3 linked regions of the Rattus norvegicus genome follow. The protein of the gene in region 3 purifies or fractionates together with the protein of the main gene of each other region. This does not show direct contact. Links are inferred from orthologs where the notes say so. Each region holds a gene or a part of one and is shown on either strand. Other genes may lie near its edges.

Region 1 (3,518 bases), on a different chromosome or scaffold from region 3:
TGCAACTTGCCTGTTAGATTTGTCTCTTTGCACATAGACATGTAGAGGCCCAGGGGCCTGTTTCCTGTGTTTGCATGGCTCTGGTTCCGTCCTCACAGAGTCAGTGAGTTGTTGGACACGGAAAGGCATGCGTAAGCTTCTCAGAATTTTTTTTTTTTTTTTTTTTTTTTTTTTTTTTTGGTTCTTTTTTTCGGAGCTGGGGGCCGAACCCAGGGCCTTGCGCTTCCTAGGTAAGCGCTCTACCACTGAGCTAAATCCCCAGCCCCTTCTCAGAATTTCTTACTGTCAGGCTTAGGTGCTTTTCTTGGTCTTAGATCTAACGAGGTCCAATTTTGAAAACAATTACAGTTAATTTACACAGAAACATTTTAAAGCGTCATTTTGTCAAGAATTTAGTTTCTTTCATTGCATATGTTGCTTAATTAGATTTCTGTTTTGTTTTCTTAGATAATGCCTGCGTTCTTTTTGCCGTCTCTGTTCTTATGTTTATAATCAGTTCAATGCTGGTTTATGGAGCCATTTCTGTAAGTCTGCCATGTTTTCCTCTCTCCATTTGACCTGTAGCAAGTAGTGATTTTGTACATATACTGATGTTACTCTCCTTCTACAGTATCAAGTGGGCTGGCTGATTCCTTTCTTCTGCTACCGACTTTTTGACTTCGTTCTCAGTTGTCTGGTAGCCATCAGTTCTCTCACTTACTTGCCAAGAATCAAAGAATATCTGGATCAGTTGGTAAGAGTGTTTGCTATTTAACATTTCCACTTAAGTAAAACATTTTAATTGAAATCTAAAGGTAGCCTTGGTACTATTTTTAACTCTTTGCTTTGTACAGTATCTTAAAATCACACCTATGTTAAGACCTGTAAGATAGAAATAAATGATTGTTGTACCATACCATTTGGACAGCAGAGTACTAAGTCCGTAAAGATAGTGTAGAAGAGATAGTTGAGTTAATTGTGTTTTAATAAAATATTCGACTGTATTTGAGATTCCTAAGGGATTGGTGTTTGATCTTTAACAGAATGCTAGCCTGTATCTGTATACCTGCTGTATACAGGTATAGGCTAGTCCTGTGTCTGTGCCCACTGTACCCTAGCCCTATGTCTGTGCCCACTCTGTTCTAGTCCTACCATGTTGTTGGGGTGCCTACTGTATTCTAGCCCTGTGTAGGAAATGTTAGCTGTTTAGGAAAACTTGCTCTCTTACAGACTCTGGTGGTTTTTTCCCCTCTGTTTGATTGGTGTTCTTTCCATTAGAAGGTATTTCTTCTGCTGGCCAGTTTTAAACACTCCCTTCCCTTCTAATGCCTTTCTCCTGACTTGTCCAGAGTCAGATGAGTGCAGCCGATCTTTTCCAGCACAGTGAGTCTGTGAGCAGTAAATTATGTCCTTCTACCTGGCTTGTAGACAGTGGCATGTGTTCTTTTTAACTATCATCTAATGAAGAGTTGAGATCAACATTTGACTCCTAGAAAAGTTACTTTTCTTTGTGGAAGACTGTGCTCCTAGAGACTTGAGCAATCTCAATTCCTCCTGACTTTCTGAACCAGGACAGGGTTGGGGTGCTGTACAAGTGGTTATATTTTGTCAAAAGCACAAAGATGAAAAATACTAGCCAGCAAAATGAATATTAGCTCTATTCAGACCTTCTAGTTATCTCAGCTATTAAACAAGCAGACGGGAGTGATTAGTCTGTTGATGATAAGGGTCTTGGATGTGCTGCATTCTTTGTGTGAATTTGCAGTAGCCTTTCACTCTTGACTGTTGCCCTTTGTTGTGTTCTTAAAATGCTCCCTAGATTTTCAGAAGCAGAAGGCTGTGGTGTAATTGTCAGTGCTTTTGTGTTTTAACAGCCTGATTTCCCCTACAAAGATGACCTCCTGGCATTGGACTCCAGCTGCCTTCTGTTCATTGTACTTGTGTTCTTTGTGGTATTCATCATTTTTAAGGTAAGGAGTTTCCAATTCACTCTTGGGGCCTGGTGAAACTGCTCAGTCAACCTTTTTCCAGTCTTGTGTCTGTATCCATACACATACACATAGTTGATGGAGGATTTGTAGTGTCGGTGTCACTGCATTTAAGGGGTGGGTCCCCTTTGTGTTTTCAAAAGTGGCTCATGGTTTATAGGGAAATCCATTAAAATTCCTAACATTTGAGCGCAGGATTTCCTCACAGCCTGTTGATTAGCAGACCTGAATCTCCAGCTAGAGTCTCTGTGAGAAACTTGTGATGTTTAAATGAGAGCCAGTCAGGAGTGAGCCTGGCTTGACTAGGTTCCTTTTGTACAGACAGTGCAGAAGAGATGATGGTCCTCTGTTCCCAGAGCAACCTGCTGAACTGTTTCTCCTTTCAGGCTTACCTAATCAATTGTGTTTGGAACTGCTACAAATACATCAACAATAGAAATGTGCCAGAGATTGCCGTGTATCCTGCCTTTGAAGCACCTCCACAGGTTAGCTGCTGTTCACTCACCAAACTGTCACTCCTACTGCTGCCTCCAGAAGTGAATGTGGGGCTTGACTTTCCAGTCGTTGCTATAACTGTGGTTTGGAATTTGAATAGCTTGAACCCACAAATGTATAAGATTTAGCATTTTCCAGGAATCTTGTGCACACAGGTCTAGAGCTCTCTGCACTGTTTGCCCAGATTGACTGTGGTCCCCACAAGTGTTTCTGGACAGATACAAGCTAGGAATATCAATAATTGGCTTGTGAGAATTCTAAGGGATGAGGGCTAATGGGTGTGTGTGTGTGTGCGCGCGTGCCCACTTGTAAGATCCAAAGCCTGGGCCTTGGGGAGATGATTGTGATGGCATCTGAGTGCCGAGCCCTTCTCTTAGAACCCTGTTTGCTGCTTTGCTATCTTCGCAGATTTTCAGCATATAGAGTAAACATGGCCCATGAGCCAGCCTGTCACTTGGAGGATAGGACCTTAGGCTAGAGTGAGCTTTAAAAAGGCTTTCTATTATCCCAAAGAGCAGGATAGGAGGTCATTGTCCTTTCAGTACAAATTATTATGAAACTACAGACACTGGCAGCTTTCTCTAGAGCAGTTAGTGGGGCCTTTCCCCCTAGATCCTCAGTTCTTGAAATATTAGCACTGGAACTTTATTGATTGACTGTCAAGAGAGAAACCCTTTATATTTTTTAAATATATGTGGGTTAGTGTGTTAGTTTATCTTCCAGGTTAGTTCAGAGGAAGAATTCTAATTGTCTTCTATCCATCACACTCATCTATTCATCCATTCCCATCTGTCTACCCATTCCCATCCATCCGTCCATCCATCCATCCGTCCGTCCGTCCATCCGTCCGTCTGTCTGTCCGTCCATCTGTCTATCTGTCCCATCCATCCATCCATCTGTCTGTCCGTCCATCTGTCTGTCCGTCCATCTGTCTATCTGTCCCATCCGTCCGTCCGTCCGTCCGTCCGTCCTCCCACCCACCTAGCCATACAGTTGTGGCGATCTTGATCTTGAGTTAGGGTGTCACTGAGTTGAAGCTGCTCAGTTGTCTGTTGT
Region 2 (3,518 bases), on a different chromosome or scaffold from region 3:
GGCTTGTCCTCAGGGACAAAGGCCTCCCCTTGCCCTGCACCCACTGCAGTGCGACATTCACTCATGAAACCCTGGGAATGTGAGACTGTACTAAGAAAGGCAGACGGACCCAGATAGAGTTGGGGTGACTTGGGGGGATGTGGGGATTGAGTCACCCTGTGGCTCTACTTCCTACAAAAGAGGAGCCATTTGCTCCATGGTCCCCAAGGAGATAGGAAGTTGACCTTGCCCCTTGACCATGTGGAGAGACCCCGGCCCTGCAGATGGTGGAGTGCTGGTTGCGTTGAGAGGTGGAGGCTGAATGCTGGCCCGGAGTGTCTCACTCCCTGGCCACCCTTGTTGTATCTGGGAGCTTCACCACCTGGAGTGTGTCCTCACAGTGGTGTGGCTGTGGGGCTGCTGCAGAAATTCAGTGTCCAGCTAAAAAGGCAGAGCAGGGAGCCCCAGACAGCGTGTCTTGGTCACCTCTGAATGGCTTAGATAACCATGAGACACCCCCCTCCAGGATACCACCTTTTCTGTGACTTTGCCTCAGTAGGGGCTTATGTGGATGGATGCGGGGTTCCTACCAGGGAGAGAGACACTGACTGACTTCCTGAGTCCTCTTTCCATGTCCTGTCACATCTGGCTTTGACCACCTGGAGGAAGGACAGGCTCTTGTCCCTGGGCCTTTACTTGCTGGTGCCTCCTTCTCCGGGCCAGTCCCCTTACCTGTCAAATTCTGGATCTAGCTGGGTGTCCCTTCCAGGATGTCCTCTCTGGTCCCCTTCTCTGTAGAGTGGACATCATACTCTACCTTGTGGGTTCCGCCCTCAGAGTCTGTCGTTCAGCTTCCACTGCTGGGATGACAATACTCAAGAGAATCATCTAGGAGGATTCGCTTTGGCTCTTGTTTCTAGCCCACGGTGTGCTGCTTGCTGGCTTTCCTTGGCTGTGAGATGAGGCGGGACACCACAGTGGGGAGAAAGTGGCGTGTGTTTGGCAAAGCTGCTCAGTTCATGGTAGCCAGGAAGGAGAGGAGAAAAGGGGGTGGTGGATAAGTGCTGAGGACACCCCGAGTTACCTATAACCATGCCCCCTAGTTCACATCCTTTCCCTCTTGCTGAGCTCGATTAGCGAGTGCTTGCCCAGCTCGCACAAGGTTCAGTCCTCAGAACTGCACAGATAAGGCAGGGCGGTGCACACCGGCAACCTAGGCACTCTACAGGTAGAGGCAGGGGACTTTACAGTTCAAGGTCATACCTGGCTACACAGGTAATTTGAGGCCAACCTGGAATACATGGGATCCTGTCTTGAAAAAAGTCAAAAGACATAAGGTCAGACAGACAGAAACAGAATCCCTGTATTGGAAGCCTGTTTTCTGGTGTCTCCTGAGACACCTGGATGCCCCTCTCCCCAGGGTGCCCTTCATGGGAAGGTGCATGGATCTGGGCAGGCCCTAGTCACTGATCTGGTAGCATCATTAACAGCCAGGGTGGGAACAGGATGCATGGGGACAGGGATAGCACTGTGGAGTGCTGGCAGTCAGGGGCACCCTGACAGGGTGGACTTGCCTTCTAGAACCGGGAGAAGTACCTGATACCCTTCCTGTCCCTTCAAATCATGGACTTCCTGCTGTGCCTGCTCACACTGTTGGGCTCCTACATCGAATTACCAGCATACCTGAAGTTTGCCCGGCCCCGGCCCGTGAGTACTCATGTGCATGGCTTGACCTGGGTCCTTGATATCCTTCAGCGGGGTCCCCTAATCCCTGCCAAATGCCCTCAGGCTCTCTCCTCTGCATGGTGTGCCTGTCAGTGTACCTCATGGGTAAGCCTTAGGACTCTGTGAAAGTGGCATGGTAAGATGTCTATTTACACTGGGCGTGAGTGGGTTACTCAGGGAGAAGGGCCGGGTGCCTTCTCAGGCCTCATCCTTAACTTGATTCCTTCTTTGGAATCGAGCAAGATGAATGGATAGTCAAGACCAAGAAACGAAGACCATCCACTGAGGAAAAGTGTGGTGGCCTTAGCTGGTTACAATACACACAGCTCTACCATGGTTGCCTTTCATAGTCCCGACTCTGGTCCTTGAAGGATGGGACTGCTGGAAGGTGGGGATACTGGGGAGTTAGAAGACCCGTGTTGTGGTCCCAGCTCTGCAGACATGAACATCCCGTGTTCCTTTCACTGAGCATAGTCAATGGGGGAATGGCTGGGGGCTTGGGTGGAGACCCTTCCAAGGAAGGGCCACTCGGAACCTGCTTGTGGGTCTTCATGCTTCCTCTTGGTCCACCTTAGGGTCCTTCTAAGGTACCCTTGATGACACTGCAGCTGCTGGACTTCTGTTTGAGCATCCTGACCCTGTGCAGCTCCTATATGGAAGTGCCCACCTACCTTAACTTCAAGTCCATGAACCACATGGTGAGTCTAGGGAGGAGGACCAGGTCACACCTTGGCTGTGTGGCCTGGGGCGAGGCATCCCCCAGGCTGGGCAGGTCATGGATGGAGGTTGGGTTTCTGGGGAGGAAGACCCGGAAGACTCTAACAAGGCCTCAGCCTCTAATATTGTGTGTGATGGATTCGGGGAGTAACTGTCAGAGAGAAGCTTCTAGGGTCAAAGGCGGTCTGGCCATGTTGAGCTTCACAGCATCCTGCCCTGGGAACTACATTATAGGAATGGCATCCCGTGTCTGCTCCTGTCTAACCCACTATGGCCACGCATGGTGGCTTAAAATGACCAGGTCCTCTCGCAGCTTGAGGGACAGCAGCATTGGGTGGCTTGCTAGGTGGTTCAGTTGCTGGTTCAGCATAGCAGCTAGGAAGGGGATGGGTGACCTGCTCCCCCAGGGGTACTTGTGTGTACAGTGTTTGTACCTTCTTTACCCAGCTCCTCATGGTGAGGACTTTAGGTAGGGCAGAGTGTCCTCAGGGCATGGCTGCTGGCTTTCCCCAGCGGAGGGATTGGGAAGGAGAAAAGGAGGCACCAAGAATGAAATCTTCATTTTGGCCTCTGGTTGGCTGCTCCTGAAAGCTCACATCAGTCCCTGAATGATTCTGGCCCAACCTCCAGGGAAGAGGCCAGTGCTATTTATTTCAGAAGAAGGGGAGCTAGGCTTGGTGCTGCTTGCCTGTAACCCCAACACCTGCGAGGCTGAGGCAAGAGGATTGCTGTGAATCTGGGACCAGTCTTGGGTAGCAAGACTGTTTTGAAAAACAGACAGGCAGATAGCATGTGTGGATGTATCTGCTCCTTGCCCAGAGGTGATGCATCTCACACCTGGTACCCCAAAAGTTAGTCTTGGCTGGAGCTACCCTGGTGGCGGTGGGTGTAACCTGCCAGGAGTTAGAGGACTAGGTGGCTCCTAGCAACCAAAGCCTTCTCAGACTGGGAGGCACCAGCTATATACTTCTTCCCCTGAGGCTCCTGAGTTGGGAGTTGCCAAGGTGGAGTATATGTATGTGTGTGTGTGTGTGTGTGTGTGTGTGTGTGTTCATGCGTGTGAGTGTGCACGAGTATGTATGCATATGTGTTCATGT
Region 3 (3,518 bases):
GGGACAGAGGGCACAGTGAGACTAAGCTGGGGACTAGAGGAGCAGAAAAGAGCTATGAGCAAGTAGCTGTGCCTGTGGTGAGAATGAGTGTCTTCAGTCCTGAGTGGGGCTGACGAGGAAAACGCAGGAAATTAACAAAGGTGCAGTTGACTCACGATTGGGGACTTAGGCAGGATTACTGCAGGTCCCAGGCCAGGACAGGATTCAGTAGGTGAAGGAGAGGAGGAGGAGGGAGCAACAGAAGGGGTGAGGCCCGCTGAGGGGGCTCACCTCCTGCAGTGGGCCTGGCCAGGATGGGGGATGGGCTTCTGTCTGCCTCAGTCTCCTCAGTACGTGTAGAAGGAATGAAGAGGGAGGAGGGAGGATTTAACATAGCCACTTTGAGAAATAAAGACAGGACGGCCACATTAAGATCACAGTGAAGGGTTGTTCATGAAAGTATGCTGGCAAGATCTGTGTAGGAGTGAGTGTTCCATCCACAAGATGCTTGAGCGTGCCAAGCCTGCTAACCAGCTTTGGGCACATTCCTTTCCTTCTAGGGATTTTTTGAACTGATACCACAGGATCTGATCAAGATATTCGATGAAAATGAACTAGAGGTAACAACTGTTTGTGCTGTGCTTGGGAATGTAGTTCAGTGTTGAGCAGTCATGCAGGCCCTGAGTTCAGTCCTCAGTGCCACTGGTGTGGAGGCGAGGGCATGGAGGAGTGGGGAGGAAGGGAGAGTATGGCAGTTTGTGGAGAGAAAGTGGGGAGGAGGAGGGAGGGTGTGAAGCCGTGGGCGCCATCCGCAGCACGGTGTAGAAGGGTGTGGTGGTACATACCCATTAGCCAGCACTCGAGGGGTGGGAGCAAGACCAGTAGTTCATGTCATCCACAGCTACATTGTTTGAAACTAACCTGGGCTACAGGGACCCTGTCTTTAAAAAGAGAACTGGAGGGCCCACAAGATGGGAAAAGCACCCTCCACCAAGCCTGACAGCCCGAGTTTGACACCTAGAGTGGAGATGGACTCCCACAAGCTATCGCTAACTTCCTCACTCACAACATGACATAGACATGCTGCAATACATATAAACATGCAATAGAACAGGGCAGCAAAGAAAATGTTCTGTGTTAAAACAGCTTTGGCTGGATGTAGCGATGCATTCTTCCATTCCCAGCACTGAGGGACAGAGGCAGGTGACCCTCTGAATATGAAGCCAGCCAGGTCTATACAATGAATTATAGAACATCCAGAGTTATGTAGTAAGACCCTGACTCAGGAGAGGAAAAAACCCAGAGCTTTGCACCGGTTTTCCCTGCTCACAGTTCTGACTGCGTGTCTGTCTGTCTGCAGCTTCTCATGTGTGGTCTGGGAGATGTGGACGTGAACGACTGGAGGGAACATACAAAATACAAAAATGGATACAGCTTAAACCACCAGGTCATCCACTGGTTCTGGAAGGTAATCTGAGGTTCAGTCATACTACGCCACCTGTAGAGTGACTCTCAGAGTGTGTCGCACTCTGAAAAGTGCACCAGCAAAGCAGACAGGCCTCTAATTTTGCATAAATGCCTTTGAATGTGAGTCTACCCTTCTTGATATCCAGAGGTAAGTACGGAAGGCATTCAGAATCGTAGGAAATGAGCTGAAATAAGCACATCAGTTTTCACCAGTGTGAGGACTGTCTCGAAGAACTTGTAACATGGCTCTTCTAAATTCTTAGATATGTGACTTTTAGTAATATGTAATTATTGTAAAGGTTTTTTTTTTAAGTGTGTGTGTATACGTGGTTACATGAGTTTATGTCACATGTGTACAATACTAGTAGAAGCCAAAAGGTGTAAGATCCCCTGGACGTACAGACAATTGTGAACCAACATGTGCATGCTGGGAACTAAACCCAGGCCATCTGCAGGAGCCGTGAGCATTCTTCACTGCTGAGGCCCTCTCCATTTCTGAGGGAAAAGCCTTAGAAATAAGTTTTTTGAGAATAAGAACAAAACCTTAGTGATTATTCTCTAAACTCTAATGACTTTTGTTTTTCGAGATAAGGGTTCTCTGTGTAGCCCTGGCTATCATACTAGAACTCATTTTGTAGATCAGGCTGGCTCTGAACTCAGCGATCCACCTGCCACCACCACTGCGGGGTGGGGCTTGGGGTGTCAAATGGTTTTTCCAAGACAGTTTCTCTGTTATTTTCAGTACTCTTCTCTAGCAGAAGTCTTTCTGTTTTTCAGGCTGTTTTGATGATGGATTCAGAAAAAAGAATACGCTTACTTCAGTTTGTTACTGGCACATCCCGTGTGCCTATGAATGGATTTGCTGAACTCTATGGTAAGAGTCCTGTGTAGATTCTCAGAAGTGCACAGAAGCTGACTGTTATTTTCATAGCTGAAGAGTCTTTAAGTTTCTACCATTTCAAGTCTAGTTTAACTTTTAAAAATTTAGTTGAAGGCTTGGGAGACAACTTGATTGGTAGAGTGCCAGCCTAGACCAATTGGCAAGCTGCAGGTAGGTAAGAGACCCTGCCCTAAAAAGAAGTGGATGATGTCACTACCTTCTGTCACTACTACTATCTTGGATAGTGACCAAGAACCTGGCATGTGGCTGAGTTACTTTTCGCCGTTGAGCATTGAGCTGCGTTCTGTAGTCCCAGAAACAGCAGCACCTCTAGCCCAGTTCCTTCCTTCCCAAGCTTCCTAACGCTACAACCCTTTAATGCAGTTCCATGTGTCATGCTGACTTTCGTTGCTACTTTATAACTGTAATCTTGCTACTATTATGCATCATAATATAAACCTTTGTTTTCCAGAGGTCTTAGGTGACCCCTATAATGGGGTCGTTGCAACCCACAGGTTGAGAACCACTGCTCTAGCATACTGGGTGGAGACAGCAGTGAAACAGCGTTAGCTGACATCTATGCCATAGTAGCCTTGGAGGATACATAGACTACACTAAAGAAAGTCTAATTCCCTCTTACCCAAGGACTCTCTTCCTGCTGCTTCAGCTACCACAGACATTCAGTCCACAAATCCTAAAGGGCATTTCAATAAAGAGCAGAGAGCGTAGTCACACGCCTGATGTGAGGTGTGCATATATGCACACCTCCAGCAAACACAGATTAGGAAGAACTCAACGATTTCTTAGGAACTTGTTAAAAAAATAAAGTTAAATTAAGAGTAAGTTTTCCCAAGCTTTCTTGAGCAGAGAGTCCTTTTGTGATTTGGTGTGAGGTGTGGGTAAAGCTTCATTCTTGTGGAAGATGGGGGGATCCCAGATAAGATCACACATAGCTCCCACTCTCCTTTCCTTTTATTTTTCATTTTAGTTTATATGTAATCGTGTTTTCCCTACATTTATGTCTTTGTACCATGTGCTTGCCAACGGAGGCTAGAAGAGGATGTCAGATCCCCCAGTGCTACAGTTATGGGAGGTTGTGAGCCACACAGTGTGGGCTCCTAGCAGCTGAGCTCTCTCCAGCCCCAGGACTAAAAGTTATAGTGGGATCTGATCATAGAGGACAAAATATAGA

Evidence for each region.
Region 1: the proteins of Nedd4 (region 3) and Laptm4a purify together in Homo sapiens (affinity purification with western blotting; 3 studies listed by BioGRID). This does not show direct contact. The link is inferred for Rattus norvegicus from reciprocal best matches to the Homo sapiens genes NEDD4 and LAPTM4A.
Region 2: the proteins of Nedd4 (region 3) and Laptm5 purify together in Homo sapiens (affinity purification with western blotting; 3 studies listed by BioGRID and IntAct, with this or other methods). This does not show direct contact. The link is inferred for Rattus norvegicus from reciprocal best matches to the Homo sapiens genes NEDD4 and LAPTM5.

Annotation. Positions count from the first base shown.
Region 1 is NC_086024.1:37,451,995-37,455,512, forward strand, and holds part of Laptm4a (lysosomal-associated transmembrane protein 4A), read left to right. Parts: intron 1-447; coding exon 448-524; intron 525-610; coding exon 611-733; intron 734-1,853; coding exon 1,854-1,949; intron 1,950-2,353; coding exon 2,354-2,452; intron 2,453-3,518. UniProt on the Homo sapiens protein: May function in the transport of nucleosides and/or nucleoside derivatives between the cytosol and the lumen of an intracellular membrane-bound compartment.
Region 2 is NC_086023.1:148,385,372-148,388,889, forward strand, and holds part of Laptm5 (lysosomal-associated transmembrane protein 5), read left to right. Parts: intron 1-1,560; coding exon 1,561-1,686; intron 1,687-2,279; coding exon 2,280-2,402; intron 2,403-3,518. UniProt on the Homo sapiens protein: May have a special functional role during embryogenesis and in adult hematopoietic cells.
Region 3 is NC_086026.1:82,341,277-82,344,794, forward strand, and holds part of Nedd4 (E3 ubiquitin-protein ligase NEDD4), read left to right. Parts: intron 1-539; coding exon 540-599; intron 600-1,339; coding exon 1,340-1,447; intron 1,448-2,223; coding exon 2,224-2,320; intron 2,321-3,518. UniProt on the Homo sapiens protein: E3 ubiquitin-protein ligase which accepts ubiquitin from an E2 ubiquitin-conjugating enzyme in the form of a thioester and then directly transfers the ubiquitin to targeted substrates. Specifically ubiquitinates 'Lys-63' in target proteins.